Schizosaccharomyces pombe: one gene and its partners. The protein of the gene in region 1 purifies or fractionates together with the protein of each later gene. This does not show direct contact. Each region holds a gene or a part of one and is shown in the gene's direction. Other genes may lie near its edges.

Region 1 (6,923 bases):
GGGGAAAGGAAATTTTGAAGACTATTGGAAGCAAAGTATTATTTCAATCCTAAAGGAATATCATCTTACTTTGGATTTTTTGTTTCAATTTGTTATAGAACCGCAAACATACCCAACTCGTGAAGAGAATTTGATGTTTCCAAAACTCAAAGGCCACTACGAAGAAACTTATCAGAAAGCTTTACACAGATGCAGAACTCTAAACTTGATTTTAATTTCTTTTTTAAGTACAAAGACGGATAAAATCGTTTTGCTTCCCATAAATGCTTTGAAGGATTTAATTCAACGTGTTTATACTGTACAACTTTCATTGCCTGTTAAAAGCGTAGAAAGTTCAGTTCAAGCTTTGCTATTCATGGTCCTTCCTCATTTGCATACGCTAGTTAATGAGTTAACCTTAAAGCTTTTTGTGGTAATTCCTCCAGCTATCATTCTTTCATTTGATTCTTACCTGGATTCATTAAATGATTGTTTACTTTCTGAGTCAACACATACTGGGGTTTTATGCTCTTCTTTAAAGTTACTTTCAAAGTTTTTGGATGTGACACATATGAATGTCCCTCTTTCAAAATACGAAAATATTGTAACGCTGGTATTAGAATATCTTGCTAATTCCTCTAAAGGTTTAGCATCCAAATCCATAGAGTTCTCTAAAAATCGTGGGCATTCTCAAAAAAAGCGAAAAACACTTTCTGAAAGTCAAGCAGGAGATACACTTATGAGTTCGGAAGAGTCTCATCAGCTTTATGATTCAGATGTCATGGATTGTTGTTTTTCTTTTTTAGCATCCATTTTGACTCATTCAATAGCATTACCACGTTTATTACGGACCAAAATAGATCTTTGCACCTTGCAGATATCTTTGTCTAACCCTACCTCAACAGTTTTGATATCTATGCATAATTTACTCCTTGCGTCAATTTTATCACCGGGAGATTCACAAGCAGTGATAGTACCTCATGCAATACGTATAATTTCTGGTCCATTAGGGCTTGTACATCCAGATCCTCTGGTCGCTTCACACGCAAGGTCATCGATGCAAACAATAGAATCGCTGATTCATCCTAGGTTCCCACCTTTGCAAAAACATCTTTCACCAAGCGAATTTGAAAATACGTTTGAGTCAAGATTTGAGCCTGTTTCTCTTGAAAACCAATCGCATATTTCTCCACCCCAGGTGGATTCTCAATCAGAGTATAAAGAAAGTAGTATTTTGGCTCCATCAAATCCTCCCTTTGAAACAGAGTCGATTACAGATTCCACTGAAATTGAAGGGATCAAAGAGTCTTTTGCATCTACAGATACAGGCTTACAGAATAATTCTACAGCTACCTCCGAGAACAAAAGAAGCGAATCAGAGCTGACTATGTCTAATGTTCTTTCTAATGAGGGTGACAGAAATGAAGAAGGTAGTGAAATCAACTCTTCTCAACCTTCAACTATTAATCACGGGACTGATCACATTAACATTGTTTCGGAAAACAAGGAAACAACTGTTTCACTGTTGCATGGAGATGTTGAGGTTGAGGAGACTACAAATGTTGCATTAAACAATTCTCAGGACACTGAAACCAAATTTACTGCTATAGACGTTGACTTTGTTGACCGACCTACTAGTGTAGTTTCAAGCCAAATTGAAAACATAAATGGTGATGAAAATGGAAACACAACTTCTTCAGTCGTCGAAACTTTTGAAAAAACAACGGATGTCGTAGATGAGAAAACGACTTCTATTAATGTGGAAGGAAACGGAGAAGATGATGAGGAGGAAGACAATATCTCTTTGCCAAGTATAAACTTGGAATCTGATAGTGATAGTTAGTCTTAATTTATAAAAAGGATTTGGGGGTACTGAATGTTTATTTTAAATTCTATTTCTAGATAAGTAGGTTGTCATTTAATCCAAGCTGATTTTTATAAAGTCCTGTATGTATTATCGTCATGGCAAAAAAGGTACATCAAGCTGATATTTGGAGGTTAAAATCAATTGATTTTGACCTCCAGAATACATTGCTTATGTGTTCTCCTTTTTAATTAGCTAAATTTTCCAGTAATACAAAGTACAAAGTCTTGTGTTATCCGCAAAAATTTTTAATTAATCATTTTTATACCATTGGTGTCACAAAAATCCCGATTATTTTAGAGTTAGACTGTCGTTTATGTTTTTTGAGAAAGAATTAAAACAACTTATCTAGTCTAGTGTTTAAAAGAATTTTATACTGTTTCATTAAGAATAATGAAGATATCCCTTTCCAAAGGCAAAAGAAAAGTCGATAACTATATAATGCAAGCTTCTAAACAAACTTGAATTAGTGATTGCAACATTTCTTTTGCCAACAATATTTAAATCCTTCATTGCTTGACACATGGTTTTATGAGAAAAATTAAGAAAGAACATTAAGTACTTCAAATAAATTTGTTGAAGGATCCAAAATTCTCCAAATAGACTTTTTTTATATGAAGATACCATTCATTCAGCTTTGACTCGCATGCGAGCTCTCTGGACAATAAACGATCAAGCCAGCGAGGTATACTGTAACCATAATATCACGAATAGTACAATAAACTTTTTTTTAAAAAAATCTAAATGTACTAACCAGAGAAGCATAAAAGAGCTCTTATAGTTCCATAAAGGATACGTTTTATCCACATAGCACTCTCTTAAAATTAAATGCTGGAATGTCGTTTTGGATAGATTATGCAATTGTGCAATAGTAATTCCTTAACAACTGATAGTTTTTGTTCAATTTATCATTCTGTTTTATTCATCCTGGATACCTTTAACTCCATGTCAGTATTTTCTGTTGTACGGCCACGAGAGTACGGATTTTTGAATTGGTTTCAATGTTAGGATCAATTACTAACGTTCCATTTCTTAGTTTAAGAGACGCATACTTCATTCACATCTTCTAATCCTGACTGTTCTAGATAAGAAGTCATCTTAATTCGCTACGTTAACAACATTATACATTAACTACACACATATTGCCAAATTTTAGTAATTCATAACAAGAGTGTTTTCCAGTAAAGGAGTTGGATCTTGAAATGTACCACTAAAATAGATGATTTTGAAATAAAAATGGAATGGATGGAATTATGAAAAACGACTTGTTATGGTTCGGCAACCACGTTTTCGACCTTACGCCAAATTCATTTGATTCTGATTTTGTCGAGCAGCTTTCGAAATTTGAGGGAAAAGAAGGATTGAAGAGGAAGTTATTTGACTCCTCGGAATACTTTCAAAACTTTTCATTTCAAGTAAACGATGATCTGTTGGGAAAAGATGTCATTCTCGATATTTCAAATCAACAACTAACACCCGCTGTGCCTGGGTGTGAGACATCATCCAATTCCAAACTCATAAGCGCATCTAAGGAAATTACTTCAGAAAGAAAAAGAGCTAAATCCTCAGTGTCCCCCTCTTATCTTACAGATTCATCACCCAGCGATTTATCTGTCGAAAACAAAGTTCTGCTAACATGCCCTAGCTGGGATGGAGAAAATTTTAAAAATTTAGAAGCTAGATCTCCATTCATATCTGAAGCGCCTTCTCGGGTATATGATTATTTTCTTCATAATCAGGATTGGAGTCCGAAACCATTATTTTCTGCACTGCAAGTTTACCCTTTAGCAACTATTTTCAATTGCGTGGCTGGTTTACCACAAGGATTTGAAAGCACAGTGTTTCCATGGAACAAAACCTCAAGCACATTTGAACTCGATCCGACCATCTCCGTTTCAGGAATGTCCGATGAATGTTTTGCTAGTATCGTCCAGAAATTTTCTGCAATTGGGGGTTTAATAAAAAAAGCTTTAAATGAATTCTCTTTATACAAGACCAACATTTCTTTTTATTTATCAAATTTCATTGTGAATGGTGTCTTGCAGTATCGAAAGGAGTTTCAGCGTTGGCTTCGTCTTTATGAGTTCCGTAGATTCGGTCTGATTGGTTTAAGTAACTTTGTTAATTCTTTTTCTTCATTCTTTGAGTTAATTTCACACTTCTTAATAAAATCGGCTCAAAACCTAAAAGGAGATTCCTTGTTAGATTTTCTTTTTGATTATGCGCGTTCATGTCAGAATACCATATCTTACCCCATTGCCCTACAGTGCTTGATATATTGCTCAAATCCCTACTTCAAAAGGCTTGAGCTTGCTTTAAAAGTTTCTTGTGCGTATGGTCACATTGATTCTTCATTGTTCTTATCACTTCCCCGTTTTTTTCCTTCTGAACTTTGTGTAAGCATTGAACAGTGTATTCAATTTTTGTCATTAATAAGGGAACAAAAAGAAATATTTAATAAAAACAACAAAGAATTTATTAACCCTTTGAACATTCGGTTCGCATATTCTTTCAACGACATAAATCAAGCTTGTGTAATAGAGGAGCGCTGCAACTTTTCTTCGCTTTCTTTTGGTAATTTGGAACAAACTTCCGTCAATAATGACAGTGAAGAATTTGAAACGCTGCTTGCTAAAATGAACATGACTCCAGATTTCAACGATAATTTATTACAACTTAAATTTACAGATGATGTGCGCAACGTCTGTCCGCTTAACTTGAATGTTTGCTGCTGTATTGCTGAGCCAATACAATCTTTTATTCTCAGTTTCTTACGTTCGACATATAAAGTTTTAAAAAACGATTTTCAGGTGTTTGATCTTTTAAATTTTTTTCATTCCACTTTTCTTTTTCAAAATTATGAATTCTCTGATAATGTCATTTCTCTGTTAAAATCAAGAAGGCTTGATAAATCTGACCGTAATGAGTTGGCTGAGGACTTGAACTCTGATGACAGATATAATTTTATTTCTCGATTGAAAAAATTCATTTTTATGGAAAAAGAAAAAAATGGGTTGAGCAGGTCTTTATCTAAGAGTATAACTTTTACATTGGATTCTGCGAGCGTTAGTGAATTTGAGGATGTGTACCCTGATTTACAATTCCAATGCCAAGTAATAGGTGCTTTACGGATATTATTTACTGATAACTCTTTAAATTATTATTCGAAAACTTTTTCTTACGTTTTACATCTCTTTCAAGCTCAATCAGACTTTGAATCATCTGTCGAATTGAAAGATCGTTCTATAGTAACAAAAACAACTATTATGTCATGGTCTAAGTATCAAGGCACGAAAGAATCTCTTTTTCAGTTTCTTTCAATATACATTCCAGAGTGTATGTTGCCTTTTACGAAATTACTGAAATCCATATATTCTCCTGACTGTCCTACGAACATACAAAATTCTGCAATTAAAAATGCGGCTTCAGTTCACGAGCAGTGCACTAAAGCAATTTATCAAAAGGTCAAAGAGTTGTTTGATACCATGAAACTCTGGGAGTCATCCATCAAAGTGTCATAACAAAAAACCAGATCCGGATGACGGATTTTTACGAGTGTAAACATGCTAATCTCACCTTTAAGTTTGAAGAATATACGATTTTACAGCAGAAAAAAATTTATAAGCACAACACTTACAGAAAATTCCTTGCATAAAATGATAAAGAATGTAAAGAAGTATTTGGATAAATTCATGAGTAAAGTATTTACTAGAGATATATCTTAATCTAAGTTTAAACAACCTGTGCCAAACAAAAGGAAATTAATTTAACAAAGAAAGGGATGAAGAATTAAAAGGAATCAAAATAGAAATGAACAGTCAAGCTTATGATTGATTGTTTGAAGATCAAACATATCAAGGTAAAGTGCCATGATCACAGGAAAATACGCAATGTAGTTTAGTAAGTTATTTTGGTGCAAAAATATATGCGCTTTAATGGTGGAACATACCAGTATGTCCCACTTAATTTGCTCGTTCAAAAAATGCATGCAAAAAAAAAAAAAAAGATACAAATCTGTAAATACCTCACGCAAATATAAGAGTGCAAATAAAGACATGTTGAGAAAAGAGTAGAGGCAAAAGCCAAAAGATAAAAATCTTACTGGACGCCTATCACTTTGGTGAAGTTGAGGGTAAACGGACAAGGAATGCATGAAAAAGGAAGGAGGTAAGTGATAATTTAATGTTAGCAAGGAAGACATGCAAGTAAGGAACAAGTGCCCATGTTCCTTATTTTAGATTTTTTTTAAAGAAAAAGGGAATCTATGCGAAATCCTTTACCACAAGAAGGCATTGTCACGGTAGTTAAAGACACTGGTAATGTTTGGATTTATTTTGGAAGTAGTGTTAACAATAACATGGTCATCGGCAACAGGGATACGACTGTCGTTGGTATATACACAAATACCTTGACCTTTATAGCCAATATTACGGCAAGTAGCACCACCAAATGGAGTGCGCAAAGCAGAGTTACAATTAACGGGGTATTGGGTGCCATTGAAGCAAGTGTTAACCAAGTAAGGGTAATCCGTATTACACAAAGTCATGTTGCAAGACCAATCCATTGAGGAATCACGAGTGAATAAGATGGGTTGATCAACAATGTTGGTATAGCTTAAAGATATACCGGAAGAACGCTTGCTGTGAGTGCTCGTACTTCCCGAACTAACGGAAGTGGTCACGTTGATAACATTTGCATTGTCAAAGTTGGAAGAATTAGCGCTAGTGGAGTAGTTGGAGGATCCGATCTGACAAAGACCGCGAGTTAGTCCGTAGGAAGAATTGGTTTCAACACATGCGGAACCACGACCCTTGGGATAACCAAGCACAGTAGGGCAGTTCAAGAGAACAGTGCTATGATTAGCGCAAATGGCAATTACATCGGGTGAAACACAAAGGTTGGAGCCACTTACATGGCAATATGTACCTTCCGAAATATTATAATAGGAGGTAGAAGCTATAGCAGAACTCAAGTCAGGAAATGTGTCAGTTGCACGCTTATATAAAGAAATCTCACGCCTTTTACAAGCAGGAGCACCTGGTATGCCACAAAGCTTGATGGACGAGACATAGGAGAACGA
Region 2 (5,577 bases), on another chromosome or scaffold:
AACCTCTAACAATAATCATCAAGGCATGGCATCTGTTTCGGTAGGACAATTTCAGTATCCCATCTGGTGAGTTTGTCGATATTATGCCTCCGCTAAGCTATTTAACTGTTTTCCATGTTTGCCATAGCTTTGCTCACTAATGTGCCTACATAGTGATGCGTACGTGAATTTCTCTTCTAGAAGATGCTTGCTTTTTTTCCACACAAATCAATCAGTATATATTTTTCGTTTATCCTTGTTCAATGCCTTTCTACTTCCGGCGCTGTTTATTTTGAATTTTCTGAAATTTTGACTGTAGACCAGCCACTTTCTGTTTTGAGTTTTCTTTGTTTTTGACACTCTCCTACCAGCATACCGGTCTTTGTTGTCGTCCTTTCTTTGCTTACCGTTGTTACACTGTCGCTCGCTATATCGTTCCGTTCAGCATCCTCTGTTAGATATTCAATTGATAAAAAGCGGATCGGTATTTCTAGTTTTCGTTGTTGTTTTTTATCATTCCGTTGTTTATTAAGATCTCCACCATGTGGATGCTTAACGGTTCGTAAAGCGAGCTCTTAGCCAATCATTTTCGCTGACGGCCCGATAGACTCGGCAGAGTAGGTGGAATCAACAAGGGTGAAAATTTCGTTAGGTTTACTGAAATTTTTTTCATCCAAAACTTTTTCATCTCAAGTTAAACTCTGTGACTTTTTAGCTGATGTTGGATTGCTGGTATTACTGATTGATTGTGGAATGTTCATCTCTGGGGTGTGTCTTTTTTTGAGGCACATCATGTGTTACTTTTGTGTGTAGTCGTTAAGTACTACCAAACATGAAAGCAAGCGTCTGAAAGAACAATAGAAATTTCACTAGTTTTAATGCGATTGAGAGGCTTTCATGTTGATTTTTACTAACAATTTTTAGGTCATGGTTAAATTCCCTGGCAGATGCCACATTCGGAAAGCGGCCATCTTCCTTTGAATTTATCGTAAACAAAACCCGCTTTTCGTCCGCCCCGGTCGTTGCAACCATCATCATATCTTACTATCTTTTAATTCTTGTCGGAGGTAGAATTATGCGTAATAGGCAACCTATCCGTCTTCAAAAGATTTTCCAATATTATAATTTGACTTTTTCCATCGCTTCAGCTATCCTTGCACTTTTGATTTTTGAACAAGTAGCCCCTGCTATTTACAAGCACGGTTTTTTCTTTTCTATCTGCAATGAGAAAGCATGGACTCAACCGCTGGTATTTTTATACTACTGTGCTTATATTTCAAAATTCGTACGTCTCCATCGTTTTTTGACCATACTTTTTTCATTCTAACATACGTTTTAGCTTGAATTGACAGATACTTTTTTCCTTGTCCTCCGCAAAAAACCCCTTCAATTCCTTCATTGCTACCATCATGGTGCCACTGCCGTTCTTGTATATACTCAAATTGTTGGCAGAACTTCCATCAGTTGGTTGATCATTGAAATCAATTTATTGGTTCATGTTACTATGTATTATTACTACTATCTTGTAGCCAAAGGTATTCGGGTTCCTTGGAAGAAATGGGTCACCCGCTTTCAGATCGTTCAGTTCTTTGCTGATTTAGGTTTTATTTATTTCGCAGTATACACGGAGGTTGCGTATCGGTTGAAGTTTTACAAAGCCTGTATGGGCCATTGCTCAGGACATCCTTTAGCGGCGTTCTGTGGTCTCGCAACAATCTCTTCATACCTTGTTTTGTTTATCGTCTTTTACCATAACACTTACAAGAAAAATGCTGCTCTCAAAATGAAAGCTAAGGCTGCAGCTGCAACAAAAGGTAACTCATCAGAATCTTCTAAAAATGCGGACTTAAAGCGTCTCTCAAAAAGTAACGCTTCTATTGCCGAGGTTAAATGCAATAATATAGTTACTAATCTGTATCCTATTTCTTCAGGTTTAAACAATGAAAAATAATGTTTTCGTGGTACCTCTTATGGTTTTTAATTACCCGATTTTGCTCTTACTTATAACTTGATATTGAGCCCTAAAGTCTACAAGTGCCTTTTTTTTCTTTGTTCTGCTTAACGTTGCATTTAGAATTACCAATTAATAGTTGGAGTGACTTACGGGCGACGATTTTGTGAATTTTGAAAGTACTTAATTGTCCGTTAGCTTTACATCCTTGTCTATATTCGATTACTACCTTTTATCCAGTGAATCCTTTTTCCCATTCCTTAATCAAGATTTATCGACGTCTTTACATGTTCTAAACTTTTTAGCTAAACCTCTACTAAGTATAGATTTGTTAACTTCGTGGTATCTTAAGGTCAAACTTGATGGTGTGATAATATAATTAAAAAAATCAGAGCCAAAATCTTTTCTTCAATATAATGTTCTGAATCTTTTTTTCCAAAGATTAAAAGTCCATTTGTTTAATATTTTATATTAAAAAACCATGGTAATACTAATGCACAACTTATGAAAAATGGGTATAAATTAGTAAGAAAATATACGTTCTAATAACAGTACTACAGTTGTGTAAGGTTGGTAAATTTCTCTGTATAACTTGTAGTCATTGCAAGTGAGCATACGGAATTCATTATTTATTTTGAAGTTTTCTTACTATTTCAGTTAGGGAGCGGCGCCGGTTAATCTAATAACAGTAAATACGTTTAAAACAAAATATATTAGTTTTTTTTTTATTACTATTATAAATGACTTACACAGCTTAACGGCAAATAATGATTAACCCCCTTCAGTCATAAATTGACTCAACTCATTTCTCTCATGTCAAACAAAAATTTTCCTTCATTCGCGATAGTATACGAAATATACACTCCTTAATCGGCATTTTAGCAATATCAGCACATAATAAAGAACATATGAGAATACAGGCAAAGCTTAATAAATGTTTTATCAAGAACTGTAAATGACAATGTCTCGTGCGGATCAAATCCTACAGCATCTCTTAAGGGAACTAATACATAATGATTCATTAGTTGCTAGTGAATGGTTAAAACATTCAAAGAAAATCATTCAAAATGTCCCTAGTTCGACATTGGTATTTCATGAAATGATAGAACATATAAAAGGGTAACGTAAAGCAGATCTGCCGATTGTTGTTGGAATGTTAAGACTAACTTGATCTAGCATCTGTGACAAAATGGGTATACAAGGTCGGGAAGATTTAGAAATGCCTTTACGAAACGCTTGTGAAGTTCTCAATCGTCAAACCGTTAGTGTCAAGCAAAGTATATTGCATGCCCAAATATTAAAACTTTTCCTTGAATTATCTAAACCACCCTCAGATATACATGTCCCACAAATTCCCGTCTACAAAGATTGCAACAAGAATGAACAAGAAGCTATAATCCAGTTATTAACTAGTTGTGAAGGAGACCACTGGTTGATGCCTGACTGGTCTTCAATGCCTGATGATGAAACCATAACAGAAGACTCTGAGGAAGAAACTTTCAATGGAAATGCTAATGAAATTACGATACCAGCCAACATCCACATCCCTATCATCGAGGAGTCTGACAACGCGTCTAACAATAAGCTATGTACTTTATTTAAAAAAAGCAAGCAACCGAATTTAGATTTTTTACAGATAAAACCCTTTATGTTTTGGGATTCTAGTTTGAACGAAACTGTCCGAATATCTGAAAGAAGTATTATTCGCGACTCTATATATATGTTGATAGGTTATCCAAGTTTTTTCTTCTTAAAAAATGGTTCAAAAATTGAAACACGACTTTCTTTATTACCAAAGCTTCATCACATGAGCGAAGAGATTCTTCGCAGTATAATGACAGAACTTGCCGATTACGGTTCTAACTTGGAATTTTTTCGACAAAAACTAACATCTCCTAGCGATTCGTTTTTTAAAAGTGATGACCAAAGTACCAAGAATGAGCCGTTTCTCTCTGTTGTCTTCATTTATCCTCAAATAAAACCACATCTCTTAAGTTGTTTAAAAAACACACACCAAGAGCTTATTAAACTCGAAACAGAAGTTTATAACGCTACAAAGAACTGTACTCTTTTTCAATTTTTTCAACATGTAAAAAAATTCGTTGATCCACTATTGTGCTTTCGTTTCGCTTACGAAAAATCAGCAACGAATATGTGGGATTTTGTTAAAACATTGGAGTTCATATATTCAACAAGGAATTACTCTTCACAAATGTTCAAGCTCTATAAAGCTTCTGCTATTGCAATGTTATTGTGGATGGTTAATCAAGCCTCACAAATTACCAGTTCTATGACTATAGCCAGGCCTCTATATAACATTTTAATCCTTTGTAAGGATTTTCCTAACAATTTCCTTGAGAAAGACAATATTGCTCTCCAATTGGGTAGTATTGTTTTTGACCAATCTCCAACTCTAAACAATTTACTTGTGGAAATGGAAATATTAATTAGAAGCAAAATTTTAAAGCTTGGTAAATCTTTGGATTTATCTTTTGACTTTCAAAGTTTAATGGGGGAGTTTGAAAATTTAATAAAACAACAAGAAGAAGCTAAAAAGTCGTTATGGTCAAAAAGATTTAGTCGTTTCTATTATGGGCATTATGTATTCGTCAACACCTGTCATAATTTTTTCCTAACACTATATCAATCTTTTACTGAAGTTGATGAAAATTCTATATTCAACGGCGTTTTTGAAACGCTTAATAATGATGTTGATGATGAATCTGTAATAGGGGAAAAAGAGAAACTTATTTTAAAGCAAAAGCAGAAATGTTTATCTGAATTTTTTGTTGATGACATAAAGAAGCTCTTAAATGAAGAGCTGCTCAATTGTCAAAAGCAAGAGCTACCAGATGTCATGGAAAATACATATCAAATTTCGACCGTTTCAGGAATTAAAAATGATCCGTTATTTACGTTGGACCAAACCTGTAATATAATAGCGAAACTAGCGGACAATCTCATACATCCTTCTGTTCCCATTGGTAGTTCTGCCTATCGATGTAGACGAAATTTGGCTGACTTATTATTCCTTATAATGCCATGATTACGATAAAATGCCATAATATTTACCATTACGTGTATAGAATCAATAGATTTCATAAAAGTAACCTTTTGGATGAGTAAAACCATACTGACTTACATGCGATTTCTCTAGTTTCATGTCGTTTACTAACGAATGATATTTGAAAAAGACCTATATCTATTAAAAAAAATGATAGTGTGCTTTAATGAAGGTAGAAAATCATTAGTCATATTTATTTGCTTTGGGTGTTGCTGATAGTTTGCATCACCCATAACAAACACGAGTCCTTTTGAAGAGGCTCTTTAACTTCTTCTTATTCATTCGTAAATCCAAGGTTCAATTGTACGATCGTAAACTTGGATTTCCGAAGGCTGGAACCAAAGTTTAATTTCACGATTAGCGCTTTCTATGGAATCAGAACCATGGCAAACGTTTCTACCAAGGTCGATACCATAATCACCGCGAATAGTGCCAGGGGCAGAATCCAGAGGGTTACTGGCGCCCAACATTAAGCGACCAGTTTTCACGGCTTGTTTACCTTCCCATATCATGGCACATACAGGGCCTGATGCCATGAAACCAACGAGTTTCTCATAAAAAGGCTTTCCTTTATGTTCGGCAT
Region 3 (6,397 bases), on another chromosome or scaffold:
AGAACCTTTGAATAAAAAAATACAATTAAAAGGTGAAATATAAAGAAACTTCAATATTAGAAAAAATGTCAACTTGACGAAAATGCGTATGCAAAAGAAAGAAATAAAAATGTAAACCGAAAGTGATTGTTTTGAAATAAGCTTCATTGTTAAATCCCTTTTAAAACATAAGTTATTCGCAAACCGGTATTATTAGCGACCTAATCGATAGCTCGAGCGCACTTACAATAAACAATTAAGGTACAGGAAAGGGAAAAGGGTTCATCAAACAATACATTATAATGTCTTTGAATCCATAAGTCCTAAAACATATTATGCAAATTTGAATCAAGAAAGAGAAGGAAATTATTTAAAACCCACTTAATCCGAAAAGGAAGAGTATGGTTTACTTATATGTCTTGGTATGGGTCAGGTCAAAGCCATAGGGATACTTCTGTTGCCATCTCCAAGTGTCAACGCAAATTTCATAAATGCTACGACTGGTTTTCCATTTTAACTCCTCGTTAGCGCGAGTGGGGTTGGCGGTTAGGTTAACAACGTCCCCTGCTCTTCTAGGGGTGACCTTATAAGGAAGATCTCTTCCAACAGCTTTCGAAAACGCATTGAGCACCTGAAAAACAGTACTACCAGTTCCTGATCCCAAATTCCAAGGGCGGCAACTAACAAAATGTTGGCGCAGGTAATCGAGAGCAGCAACATGAGCCTCTGCCAAATCGCATACGTGAATGTAGTCACGAATTGGAGTACCGTCAGATGTGGGATAATCGTCGCCAAATACATTCAAATGATCCAATCTTCCTACAGCAACTTGCGCGATATAAGGAAGCAAGTTATTAGGGATGCCAAGAGGATCTTCACCGAGTTCACCAGAGGGATGAGCACCTCCGGGATTAAAATAGCGTAATAAAGCTGCATTAAGCGATTTGTTCACCTTGGTCTCATCCTCAATGATATTTTCAATGAAAAGCTTTGTGCGACCATATGGGCTTGTACCTTCACGAGGGCATGACTCTGGAATAGGAATGGTACCACCAGGTCTAGTAGGATCGCCATACACGGTAGCAGATGAAGAAAAGACGAAGTCACGTACATTATACTTCTTCATGCACTCTATTAAATTAATGGTACCGGAAATGTTATTTTTGTAATAACTCAAAGGAACCTGTACAGATTCACCAACTGCTTTGAGACCAGCAAAATGAATGACAGCAGATATGTTTTGATTTGCGAAGACCTTGTCCAAAGCTGGCTCATCAAGCAAATCCACCTGGTGGAATATGACTTTTTTCCCAGTGAGTTTTTCAATGCGGTGCACGGCTTCAACGCGAGAATTGCATAAATTATCGACAATTACAACATCATATCCTTTTTCTAACAAAACAACGCACTATTGCAGATTGTGGTTAGCAAAATATCTCAAAAAAGAGCTTTATAGAATATGGACGAAATTGTATAAAAGTAAAGAGCAGCAAGCTATATTCACAAAAGATGCGTGCTTAAAACATTTACATGTACATTACTAATCCTCTTCTGTATCTTCAAGCTCTCTACGTACCGTATGAGAACCTATATAACCAGCGCCGCCAGTAACCAACACAGTCCCTTCATGAACACCAGTCTATGAATCATAATTAGTATTTTCATACAAAAGAATGCTTTTGATTAATTAAAAAAGTTATTCATACCATTTTACACGTTATAATTTGATATTAAAGGGGTGGGCTCAAGACTGTAGCTATTATGCTCTTTCTTTGTTGGATATTCAGTTTCCTACATGCTCAAGGTATCAATGCAGGTCGTTACCTCCTGTAACCTGACATGATGTAAAACGAGCAAAAGCCACAATGAAGCTTAAGCTAAAAGTGAAAAGTGCTTGTATATCTCGCTAAACCATTTTATTGATATATCGCTAAAAAATTCCTAATCATAATATTATATAGTAACAAAGAGGTCGTCGGAATAAGTGTATAGCAGATGAATGCCTGTGATTAGGTGTATGGATTTTTCATGTTCATAAAGCATTGAGGTAGTAATTTAATGTATGTGCATTTACCAATAAATTTTTTTTTTGTATTTATTTTTTTAAAAGATGAACTCGAGATTTTACAACCAATATACACTTTGATAGATGTAATGTTTGTGATTTCACCACCAGCTTCATGCGACTACAAAATCCTTGCTTCCCTAGAAAAGCATTTTATCTGTAAATAAATCATTGATGCTTATATGTATTTTTGAAAAAATTTATTTTGTTAAAGAAATAACAAGTAAATGTATAATTAACATAAAACCGAGCTAAATTTATTGCTTTTATTATGCAAATATTACCTACTGGCTAGTAAATAAAGCGAAGTAGTCTGCATTAGAATAAAAAATTTAAACACAACAAAAAAAAAAAAAAAAAAAAAAAAAAAAAGATGAAGGGAATAAATCCCTCAAGCTTAGGATCTAAAATTTTTATCCATTCAAAATAAACTCTAGCATATAGAATTTGTCACTGTCTACTGCTATCCATATATACTCGAATGAGTATTTGGGGTCCTTTGAGTTTACGGTAGTCTTACAATAGAAAATGCTGCAGTCTTCTAGTTATGTATTTTTTGACTAATTTTTTTTATACTTTTTTGCATTTTTTAATGCTACACGGACCTGAGTTGGTTTGCTTTGAAATTGCGTTGATTGTTAGCTGGCGCATACTTACCAACCTACATCTTAAAACTGGCCTGCTGGTAAACAAGCATATCCGAATAATAATTACAAAGAGCACTAAATATTAAATAAATGTTCACACTTTTGTAGATTATATAAAAAAAGACTCTTTAAATGGTGAGATCGATTAGTTCGGTGCTTGCTAAAGAAGAAAGCGAGAATGGGAGTCCAATTCCAGCTCTCGAGGAAGGGAGCGTTTATCATGTCTCTTTGAAGAGTGAAGGTGTTTCTCCATTTTCTGATAGGATTCAATTAAATTATCTTTACGATGGGAAGACTTTTAGCGATCCTTCGAACTTAAATATCCATCAGCAGGAAGCATGTCTCATAAACGAACTCTTAAATGCATTTATGGGCATGGAGGGTGTATTTGTACATCTCCAAGACATGAAAGCATCCTCTGAGTTTGAAACCATTATTATGCCGCCATCGTTTTATATTCTTCCTGGATTTGATTTAGGTATAAAGGATATTGCTTCTGAGATGTTAGAGATGGGGTCTCATTATTTAAGTATCACAGCTTTTATAGAATCGAGAAGCCATTTTGAATACGGATTTGTTAACCACGCATTGTGCGCTGCTTTGCGAAAGTTTGTGATGGACTACGTGGTACTTATCATGCAGTGTGAAAATCAGAGCCGAATTGATCCAAATTTTTCTCTTCAAACTCTTCGCCTTTATACTCTTCCCACATCGCGTTCATTACGACAAGTGTATTTAATTCTACGTGACCTGCTTTTGTCTATGGAAAAGAATGCTTCCAGCAGCGATGATTTAGGTCTTAGTAACATCGACGATCTTTTAGAGCAACTTAATGAAGGAAATGACATTTCACATGTTGTTAATGCCACTAGGTCTAAGAAAAAGGTTTGTAAAGGTGGGCAAGTCATTTCTTTTTTGACCGAAAGTCTTACGAAATATGCGGGTGATCCTGTGGCACGAAAAATCCTAACCTATTTATTGCGCGAAGCTTCACGCCCTTATACAAAAATGTTGAATGAGTGGATCCATCTCGGGCTCGTAAATGACCCATATGATGAATTTATGATAAAAATACACAAAGGAATCACATCTATGCAACTTGATGAAGACTACACAGATGAATATTGGGAAAAACGATACGTGATTCGAGAGGATCAAGTTCCTCCACAATTGCTTGATTTACAAAACAAGGTACTCTTTGCAGGCAAGTATTTGAACGTCGTTTTAGAGTGTAGGAAGGGAGTTAATAACCTGGCTTCGTTAAATGCAAAAGACGATACTCAAAACCAGTTGCTCTGGCCTTCAACCTTCGATGATGATAACTTTACTTTAAATATCATGAATGCCTATGTTTATGCAAATGAATCTCTCTTGCAATTACTCCAGTCTTCACAGTCTCTTTACGCTCATCTGTACTCGCTCAAACATTATTTTTTCCTTGATCAATCTGACTTTTTTACAACATTTCTTGACAATGCTCAACACGAGCTACGAAAACCTGCAAAGTATATATCTATCACGAAGTTGCAGTCGCAATTAGATTTAGCCCTTCGTCAGCCTGGTACGATAACTGCGACTGATCCACATAAAGAATACGTGACTGTAGAAGTGAATCAAACATCATTAATAGACTGGCTCATGCATATTGTAAGTATCAGTGGTTTGGAAGAAGGAACATCATCTCAGGGAAACGAAGTTTGGAATGAATCAATCACGAAGCAAGCGGATGTGGGCAATGAAACTCGAAATTTTGAGAGTGAACACAATCGGAGCACACAGGGGACTTCAAAAGTTGGTAGCGATAAAGATATTAATGGATTTGAAACGATGCAACTATGCTATAAAGTTCCATTTCCCCTTTCACTTATTTTATCCCGCAAAGCTATTATTCGATATCAACTTTTGTTCAGATATTTTCTTTTACTTCGTCACGTTGAAATGCAACTTGAGAATAGTTGGGTGCAGCACAGCAAGAATAGTGCTTGGCGTCTCAATTCCTCCAATGCGAAAATCGAACAATGGAAAAGGAACAGCTGGTTATTAAGGACACGAATGCTTAGTTTTGTTCAAAAAATAATCTACTATACTACAAGTGAGGTGATTGAAACACATTGGGGGAAATTTATGGGAGAACTTGAGAACGCCCGAACTGTGGATAATTTAATGCAGGAGCATATCGATTTTTTGGATACGTGTCTAAAAGAATGCATGCTTACTAACTCGCGATTACTTAAAGTACAATCTAAATTACTTAATACTTGTGCTATGTTTGCCTCTTATACTTCCACGTTTACCCGATCCTTATATTTGCTTGAGAATTCCGAAGAAAGCTTTGATGAAGGAAGAATGGATAAGATGGAAGAAATTTTACGCCGGTACGAAGACAGTTTTAGTCGTCATTTAAAATCCTTAGTGAATGCTTGTAACTACTTTGCAAGTACTGAGACGGCGGCTCTTTTAAGTTTAGTAATGAAATTGACGGGATAACTAAGAAGAGACAAGATAAAACAAGGCAAGGTAGAAAAACTACAAATGGAACAACGTTACTATTGTTTTATTGAGATATGAAGAAACATCTGACAAACAGCAATGGAAATTGGGAGAAAAACTTTTATGGATATTTATATAGTCGGTTTTTGGATAACCTTATCTTTGACATCTTGTTGCTTGTACTCGTTAATAAAGAAATGACTTGGAGTGAGGATCTTGCGGAATGGCCAATTATCTTCATAAACAAGCATTGCTTATCCGCAGTATACATTGGTCCATTTTCAGTAGTTTGGACTTTTTTTTGGCCAGTTGTCACACTAAAAGCGTACTGCACTATTCGGTTAAAAATTGACAAAAAGACGACTGCCATTGGCCATGAATTTAAGAATGATTATGGAGAAAGGCATGGCGAGCGTTTAATATGCCAACACTTGTGTTATATAAAAAATAATCGATTTTTTAAAATGTCTGAAACAGGGTTTGCTGATAATGCCTGAGGAATGGTAACTTGGATTTTTGATCGCTAATTTTTTATTAGCTATGTCGCTAAATTTAAGGCAAGTCGGCAGTATGCCGCGTGATTGAGGAAGAACGAAGAGAGAGGCTAAGCATTTGTTCCTAGTCTAAAGAGCTATCGATTGATTTTGAAGTGATACAATGTATGCTAACGTTTGTACCATAGACAGCTATAGTAATGAACTTTGTTATGTGAAGAAGTACAGTTGCTACGACAGTAATGATGATGATGTATGTATATAAAAACCAAACCAAGGTTTAATTTAGGTGGTTATAGTATTGTATACGCAAAACTATTCATTTGTGTGCACTCGTAATGAATTTCTAGTAATTGTATTTTGCAGTTAAAAGTTTAATGGATGCGTAAACAAAGGAACAGGTAAGCTAGTAAAGCGCATACAAAAATTGTAATATCGAAGGAAAACGTCAATTTAGATTAGTGTAGGATGGTTATTACGAAAGGATAGAGTTACTATGAAAAGTGAGTACAGATTGTATGATTAAGTATGGGGGCGATAGCTGGGTGTGAGGCAAAGGAATCATATGACTTTAGAATTATCGCATCAAGGAGTAAGAAAAACGAAAACTTATCTCACAGTGGATTGCCCAAAATTATCAATCCCCCACCATGTAAGAGGAAACAAGAGAAACAGAGAGAGGGAGAAAGAAATAATTAGAAACTAGCAAATATACTTTACAG

Evidence for each region. Proteins that work in one complex are often made in the same cells at the same time.
Region 2: the proteins of alp16 (region 1) and mod21 purify together in Schizosaccharomyces pombe (affinity purification with western blotting, with the first as the bait; one study listed by BioGRID). This does not show direct contact.
Region 3: the proteins of alp16 (region 1) and alp4 purify together in Schizosaccharomyces pombe (affinity purification with western blotting; 3 studies listed by BioGRID, with this or other methods). This does not show direct contact.

The regions. Positions count from the first base shown.
Region 1 is NC_003421.2:430,836-437,758, reverse strand, and holds alp16 (gamma tubulin complex GCP6 subunit Alp16), read left to right. Parts: upstream 1-2,972; 5' UTR 2,973-3,084; coding exon 3,085-5,364; 3' UTR 5,365-5,495; downstream 5,496-6,923. Other genes in the region: ribosome biogenesis protein Rix1, read left to right, coding at 1-1,822; SPOM_SPCC306.11 (uncharacterized protein), read right to left, coding at 6,120-6,923. UniProt on the Schizosaccharomyces pombe protein: Component of the gamma tubule complex that is required for the regulation of both interphase microtubules and mitotic bipolar spindles.
Region 2 is NC_003424.3:248,079-253,655, reverse strand, and holds mod21 (gamma tubulin complex GCP5 subunit Mod21), read left to right. Parts: upstream 1-2,729; 5' UTR 2,730-2,885; coding exon 2,886-3,049; exon of another isoform or gene 3,050-3,106; coding exon 3,107-4,976; 3' UTR 4,977-5,077; downstream 5,078-5,577. Other genes in the region: fatty acid elongase Elo1, read left to right, coding at 1-66, 904-1,264, 1,319-1,930; nucleoside diphosphate kinase Ndk1, read right to left, coding at 5,273-5,577. UniProt on the Schizosaccharomyces pombe protein: Component of the gamma-tubulin complex that is required for the regulation of both interphase microtubule organization and nucleation, and mitotic bipolar spindles. Required for correct septation.
Region 3 is NC_003423.3:2,521,238-2,527,634, forward strand, and holds alp4 (gamma tubulin complex GCP2 subunit Alp4), read left to right. Parts: upstream 1-2,823; coding exon 2,824-5,178; 3' UTR 5,179-5,897; downstream 5,898-6,397. Other genes in the region: UDP-glucose 4-epimerase Uge1, read right to left, coding at 386-1,387, 1,556-1,618, 1,686-1,688. UniProt on the Schizosaccharomyces pombe protein: Component of the gamma tubule complex that is required for the regulation of both interphase microtubules and mitotic bipolar spindles.